Linked DNA regions of Lonchura striata. The protein of the gene in region 1 purifies or fractionates together with the protein of each later gene. This does not show direct contact. Links are inferred from orthologs where the notes say so. Each region holds a gene or a part of one and is shown on either strand. Other genes may lie near its edges.

What was found. Proteins that work in one complex are often made in the same cells at the same time.
Region 2: the proteins of TXNL1 (region 1) and UBE3A purify together in Homo sapiens (affinity purification with mass spectrometry; 3 studies listed by BioGRID and IntAct, with this or other methods). This does not show direct contact. The link is inferred for Lonchura striata from reciprocal best matches to the Homo sapiens genes TXNL1 and UBE3A.

What each region holds. Positions count from the first base shown.
Region 1 is NC_134642.1:658,416-662,160, forward strand, and holds the start of TXNL1 (thioredoxin-like protein 1), read left to right. Parts: upstream 1-788; 5' UTR 789-794; coding exon 795-958; intron 959-2,178; coding exon 2,179-2,275; intron 2,276-2,765; coding exon 2,766-2,939; intron 2,940-3,197; coding exon 3,198-3,320; intron 3,321-3,652; coding exon 3,653-3,722; intron 3,723-3,745. UniProt on the Homo sapiens protein: Active thioredoxin with a redox potential of about -250 mV.
Region 2 is NC_134604.1:85,913,081-85,916,825, forward strand, and holds the start of UBE3A (ubiquitin-protein ligase E3A), read left to right. Parts: upstream 1-1,292; 5' UTR 1,293-1,408; intron 1,409-3,745. UniProt on the Homo sapiens protein: E3 ubiquitin-protein ligase which accepts ubiquitin from an E2 ubiquitin-conjugating enzyme in the form of a thioester and transfers it to its substrates.

The sequences.
Region 1 (3,745 bases):
CAGGTCGCACCTGTCCGGTGCCGGTGCCGGTGCCTGTCCCGGTCTCGGTCCCTTCCCGGCCCTCACGTGTCCCCCCGCCGCGCTCGCTGCGGCAGCGGCCGGGTGCCACCGCGCCCCGCGACACTGGCGCAAAGCTGCGGCCGGCGCGCTTGACGGCAGGCGCCGCCGCCGTGGAAACTGCTGGGGTCGCTGAGGGCGCGCCAGGAGCGGGTGATTGCGCGGTGACAATTCATAATTAATTACCGATTGCTGCAAGGCTTTTCAATTGCAGCAGGCGGGGGCAGAATGGCGGCGGTATTTCTGGTCTTTGCTGGGAAAAGCGGGAATATTAGACAGCTTGGAGTGACATGATGTTGTGTTATAAAGTACGTTGGGAAATTGTCAGGAATGACGCTGCAAATGGAGTCAGAGAAAGTCCCGGGTTTAATTTTGGTTTTATTTTGTAGTTATTACAAGCACTCATCTTTTATTTCCCCCTTTTGGCGTCACCAAAAAACGAGTTTATGACGAAACCAGTATTAAATTTTTATGTTAAAATCTAAAGGCGCATCTCGCCTCAGAGAATTCCTGCGCTTGCCTGTTCCTAAAATGGCCGCCGGGGGGCGTCGTGCCCTCACGGGTTGCCCGTTCCTAAAATGGCCGCCGGGGGGCGTCGCGCCCTCACGGGCTGCCCATTCCCAAAATGGCCGCCGGGGGGCGTCGCGCCCTCACGGCCTGCCCGTTCCAAAGATGGCGGCGGCGGGCGGGAGCGGAGCGGAGCGGCCGCGCCTGCGCCCGTGCGGCCCCAGCGGTGCATGCCGGGCGGCCTGCCCGCCGTGACGCTGCACATCGCACCCGGCACCGCCACCGGGCCCGCGGCCATGGCGGGCGTCAAGGTGATCGCCAACGACACCGAGTTCCAGCCCGAGCTGAGCGCCGCCGGCTCCCGCCTGGCCGTGGTGAAGTTCACCATGAGGGGGTGAGTGAGGGCGGCGTGCGGCTCAGGCTCCCGGGAAGGGCTCCGCTGTTCCCGTGCTTTTATTGGGGTTCTCCGGCGCGGCTCGCGGCGTGAGGAGCGCTCCGTAACGCGTCAGGGCGGTCTCGGCATCGGCGCCTTTAGAAGTTGTGTGATTTTTAGCACCCCGTTCCCAGCTCCCGGAATAAATTCCCGTTCTTCCCGCCGAGCCCGCCGCCCGCGCCCCGCCAGCCCTCCGGCGCTCTGAGGGAGCAGGGGCTGCGCTGGTTTACAGCCCCTTAAAGGGCACGAAAATGACGGAAGCGAGGCACGGACAGCACTAAAAACACCTTAAAACTTGGAAAAACACCTTTTGCCCCATAAAACTTGGCTGCATCCGTACCCCATTTGCCCACGATAAGTGGATTTTCTCTTTTCCGTCCTCAGCAGGGAGGTGCAGCTGTGGTGAAATCGGGATGAATTTGTCACCAAATGAACCTACATATCTGAATCATTCCCTTTAATCTGTGAAACTGGGGAGAATAGTGATAATCCCGGGGATTTGGGGGTTCATAGGGCACCTCATTATTTTTTTGGCTGCTGCCTCTTAGTTGTGGGGTTTTTTTTGCCAATTTCTATGTCGGGGTTTTTTATTTCACTTTTCTTTTCCCTTTCCCAGTGAGAAACTCCCTTTACAGGAATTGGTGCAGCTGAGCACTTCATACATTTTTGCTGACGCAGAATAAGTAAAAGATACTAATTTTCGTATGAGGCAATGCAAATAAATTAAAAGAAACCAGCTATGTCCTCTCAGAACCAAATAAATATGAGAATAACTGGTTCAGGTGTAAATGAGATTTATTGTGGGAACAATTTTATAATCCATGAAGCTTTGATACATGTTGACCATTAAACATTTAAGTTATGTGTGAATATAATTTTTTTCCAAGGAGGTGGCATGAACTAATGATAGTATTTTTTTGTTAATAGTATTTTTTTTGCTCATTTTGCCCTCCTTTGTCACACTTTGTTGAGCAGGTCTGTGGTAAAAATGTTGCAAATAAAGGCAATAAATTGCAGATTCCCAAATGTCACCTTGCATTGTATCCCCAGCTGGCTGCAGGTAGAGAGGCTGTTTTTACAGCAGGGTATCAGGAAGAGAGGAACGTTCTGGTTCCGTTTGGGGCAGGCACTGGAAAAGGAACCAAAAGTGGAATTAAGTGGAAGTGTCACTTTTCCCACAGGTGCGGCCCTTGCCTGCGGATCGCACCCGCCTTCAGCGCTCTGAGTAACAAATACCCTCAGGCAACATTCCTGGAGGTGGACGTGCACCAGTGCCAGGTGTGGGCTCCAGGGCCTCCTGCTGCTGGGGAGCCAGGGAACAGGGAGGGAAAGGCTGCAGTGGTGTCCTGAGCAGGATGGGAGAGGAAAACCAGGGAATGGGGAGCTGGGAAAGGCTCCAGCAGTGTCCATGCCTCTCGCCGTGCCTGCTGCAGCACAGGAGCTGTGACAGTGACTTCTCCCAAACTGGGAAAACAAATCCCTCCTAGGAGGAAATATTCCTGCAGTGCCACTGTGCTGCCCTTCCTTTGAGCAGTGTAAAAGTGCAGTTATTCATTGATTTGTTGGTTCCCAGCCCCTGCTAAAATAATATTTTAGCCATGGAACACAGCACTTGTGGGAGGTAAAGGCAAACATGAGCATGTGCATTTATTGGTGGGTTTAGCTAGTGGGAATTAAAGGCAAACGTGAAGAAGTGGGGCTAGTTGGCTGCCAGTGGTGCAGTGGGACTGACCTAAAGCACTGAATGGAGTCTGGTGTCTGCTCCCAGGGCACGGCTGCCACCAACAACATCTCAGCAACGCCCACCTTCCTGTTCTTCCGGAACAAGGTGCGGATCGACCAGTACCAGGGAGCAGATGCTGTGGGCCTGGAAGACAAAATCAAACAGCACCTGGAGAACGATCCCGGCAACAGCGAAGACACAGACATTCCCAAAGGATACGTGAGTATCTCCCCAGAGCTTTGTTGGAGTGCTCGTGCAGCTCAGGTGTTAAAAAACCCTGGTTTTCAAATGTGCTTGAAGTCAAAGAGTTGGATTTTAGGCAAAGCTGCCCAAGAAAATAATTTGTCTGGGCTTTATTTTCCAGAAAAAATGTAAATATTGACATATACGTGGTTATTAAGGATGAAGAATGTCCCTAGTCATTGAAATGAATTTTGTGCTGTCCCAGCTGTGAGCAGCTGTGCTCTCTGTCCCCAGATGGATCTGCTGCCCTTCATCAACAAGGCTGGCTGCGAGTGCCTCAATGAGAGCGACGAGCATGGCTTCGAGAACTGCCTGCGCAAGGACTCCTCCTACCTGGAGTCCGACTGCGACGAGCAGGTGTGCTGCCACAGCTGCAGGGATTGCTGCATTCCCGGGGTGTTCTCCTGCAGGGCTGTGCTGCCACAGCTCCAGGGATTGCTGTGATCCCGGGATGTGCTCCCACCAGGCTGGCAGCCCGCAGGAGGCCTGGGTACACGGCTGGGGGTGCCCGCGCTTTCCCCACTGAGCGTGGCCTGGCACAGGAGTGTGAGCTGGGGGGAAAGGGCCAGAGTGCGCTCAGGGGCAGTGAGCACAGCATTTGTTGCTGTGTTCCAGGGCTGCCCAGCCCCGTGTGCTGGGTGTGCAACTGTGTGACACCCGTGTGTAACTGTGCTCGCTTCCCCCCACAGCTGCTCATCACTGTAGCTTTTAGCCAGCCTGTCAAGCTGTACTCTATGAAACTTCAGGGGCCAGACAACGGTGAGTGCTGCAGGTGGAGTTAC
Region 2 (3,745 bases), on another chromosome or scaffold:
GCAGGGCTGCACAGGACCGGGGGTGTGTTGCTCACTCTTCAGGCTGCATCCCCGGGCCGGGTCCCTGACCCTTCCAGCCCCACCAGCCAGCCCTGCCCTGTGTGCCCCGCAGGGTGCTAGCTTTGAACACCACCAGGCATTTGATGACCTAAACGTACACCGCGGTGGCTCTCTGCCCAGCGCGGCAGGCGGGGACAGCAAGGCTGCCCCTACGCTTTGCCGCCTATGGGTCACCCCGCTCTCGGTCTCCCCCTCCTTCCTCCCTTGCTGGGAGGGGCCAGACACGGCAGGGCTGGCCAGGCCTGGCACTGCCTGGCCTCTCGTGCTTTGGCTGACTCACGGCTCCAGCACGGGTTCCCCTCCAGAGGTCACCCACCGGCCCTTCCACCGCTCCCCTCCGCCGGCCGGCCACGGCTCCCTGCCCAGATTAAACCCGATAAACCCCGGCCGGGATGCCGTGGGGCCTGCCGGACAGGCGGGACTCCGGTGGAGCTCAGCGGGGACCTGCCGAGGGACTCAAAGCTGGTGGCGGCCACTCTGCCCAGGGCAGCGATGGTCCCTTGCTGTGCCACCAGCCCCTGGTCTGCCCGCCGGCCTCCAGGGCCGTGTGTGCGGCTGGGCACCTGTGTGTGCCTGCGTGCCTGTGTCAGTGCGTGTGCACCCGCGTGTACGTGTTTGCATTTGCAGATGTTTGCGTACACGTATGTGTGTGTGTACGTACATGTGCGCGCACAGCCGCAGCCGACACGCACTCCCCCGTTCCCTCACACCGCCCCACCCGCGCCTCAGCCCCGCGCCCTGCGCACGCGCACCCCCGAGCCCCGCCCCGCGCGCTCGCCTGGCTGCGCCCCCACCCCACGGCTCCGCGTTGCCCACTTCCAACATGGCGGCCCCCGCTTCGCGCACGCGGGCGCGCAGGCGCCGCCGCGAGGGCACACGGCCGGAAGGCGCGGCCCGGCAGCTCTCTATGGTTGCCCGCGGTGGGTAGCGCGCCGCCGCCGCGCCTCGCCCCCGCCCGCGCTGCACGCCGGGACACGGCCGGTCCTCCCTCCTTCTCTCCCTCCCTCCTTCCCGCGCGCCCCCCCGCGCGCCCCGAGCCTGCGCCGCGCCGACATCCGCGCTGTCCCAAGATGGAGGCGCGGGGCTCGCGCTGAGCGCGGCCCGGCCGGCACGGCAGCAGCAGGAACAGCAGGAGCAGCAGGAGCAGCAGCCGCGCCCGCCCGGCCCGGCCCGTCCGCCCGCCTCGCCTTCCCCGCCCCGCCAGGCCGCGGCTCCGGCGGCCCCGGCAGCAGCAGCGGCGGCGCCTCCTTCTCGTCCGCGGCCCGGCCCCGAGTGCGGCGCGGCCCCCGCATGAGCCCGGGCGGCAGCGGCGGCGGGAGCGCCCGGGAGCAGCAGCCGAGGTAGCCAGGTCGGTGTGAGCGCTGCGCAGGGCCGGGAGCGGGAATGGCGCCCGGCGCACGCTGGCCCTGAAGGGGAGGGAGGCGGCCCTGCCAGCTTCCCCGCGCCGGGAGGGGAAGGCGGCAGCCCCGGGGTCCCGTCCTTCCGCGCCGTGACACACACGGGTGCGGGGCCGCCCCGGGAGCTCCGAGCTTCTCCCGCCCCCCCGGGAGACCGGGCTCGCTGGGCGACCTTGGGTGAACCCAGCCTGCCGCTGCCTCAGTTTCCCGGTTCGGTGACTACTCTCTGGGGCAGCTGTGGGCATGGGACTGCTCGGTGCTGTCGGCGCGGCTGGCCGCCGGAATGGCAAGTAGTGCGAGGGTCTCTTAACTAGTGGCCAAGGCCTGCTTGACAAAGTGGGTCTGATCACTTTGCTCGTGTTGCCTTCTGTCCAGTCTGAAGAGTTGGATCTGAACCTGTGAGCAGGCTGCCTTGATGTATGTGATCTGTCGCTCCTGACTGCAGCACTTTCTGGGCTTCAGTTTTTAAGCATATCTACAGTATTTCTGTTAAGGGATGTTACACTTGACTATTGATTTGTAAATCAGATGTCTGAGGTGATGTGTTATGGTCATTCAGAAGTTGCTACTGCTTAAGAAACGAAACATGTATCACAATTCTCCTTTAAGTGACAAGAACCTGTAATTTATACACATGTAGTTATTCCTTTTCTTTTTTTCTCCAGTTAATGAAATATATGTTTATGTTTCCTTCTATGTAATGTGTTGGTCTAATTCTGGGACTAAGCATGTTTCTTACACATCACTTCAGGGATGGGCCCTCTGTCTGTATGAAAAGATACCTGCTTCAGTAAGAGTCTGCAAACTTGAAGCCCTGTGAGAATTTTGCTTCTCAGAGTGGTTTTGCCATGCCTCTTGCATGTCTAGCAGAAAGTTTCTCAGTAGAAAATTGTACCCGATTTTAGCTTTGATTTCTTGACAAAGTAAGACCTTTATGATTGTACTGTCAATTTATCTTCTTTCTCTTTTTCTTTTGACTAGCTGACTGGTTTGAAAGGGAGAGGTCTAAAAGATAAGATTAAGTTCCTAATTCATGCAAATAGCATCCAGTTAGAGAGATTACCTGCTAAGGAAGAAGCCACGCTCTGAGTTGTACTGTGTTAGACACTTATGATGGGGGGAGAGGGAAGTGTTGGAGATAGTGAGAGGTGTACCACTTGATAAGAATGAAAACTGTTGGAAATAGACTTGCAGTTCTCACAAACTGCTTGGTTTAGATGTTGGCTCTGAATAGCTGTGCCCTTTCATTGTGGAAACAGTTTAAGGTACTTTTTAGAAATTTGAAAATACAGCAAAACTCAGTTTAACTGAGTGTGTTGAATTGAAAATAGGAAATCTGTATTGCTAAATTGATATGGATGTGAGAGAAAACTATCAGATGTGCTTGTCTTTTAAAACAGATGCAGCTTGTAGTATAGTATCATTCTGTCAACTCAGTACAGAAAAATAGTGAAAGAAAACATAGTCCACTAGTTACATTTACAGAGCTGATACTTTTAATTGAAATTATTTCTGTACAATGTTACAGGTGCTTTATCTCTCTTTTACAAATACCTTCCATTGCACTCTTAAGTGTTTACTATTTAATGTAGCATCTTTTCTGCTGGAATTAAGAAGATCATTTTGTTTATCAGAGGTGTTTGCTATTTCTCCTCATTGGAGTGTCCTGAGAATCTTCCAAGAATATAGTAACAAAAGCACCAAGTTAGATGCCAAAATGAGTGTTTGATTTGTTCAGGTTTATTTCAGGGTATGGTTCTGTGACTTAGCAAAAAAAGTCAGGCTTGAAGAGTTGTGTGTTTTAAAGCCTGAGATTTCTCAGTCCAAGTCCTCTTAAGAACTCTAAAGTTGTGTGGGTTTGATGCTTTTTTTTAAATAACAAACAAGACTTCTGGTCTTTTCCTTTTTTTTTAAATTGCTGCTGCTGTTTAAAAACATGGGAATGGTGGTTCTTTTGTGAATGGGATTGAAAACTGTGTTTTTTGTATTTTTGTTTTGTATTTGTATTTTTTTTTTTTTGTATTTTATTTTGAATACATATAGGGATGTTCTGCTTGTTGGAGTCTATGTTAGAGCACCTGGAAATTTTCCCCAATTGTTTTAATCAATTTGAGAAAATAAGCCTGGTTCTTTTTCATATCATTTAACTTCTCTTTTGAAATTTAAAAGTGTCATGTGTACCACCATGACCCAGCATGCGCAGGATAAAATCATGCTTGTTTCACTATGATTATGTCCTTTGTTGACATATTCTTCGTTAGTTCTCAGAATTCACAGGCTCTGCTTAA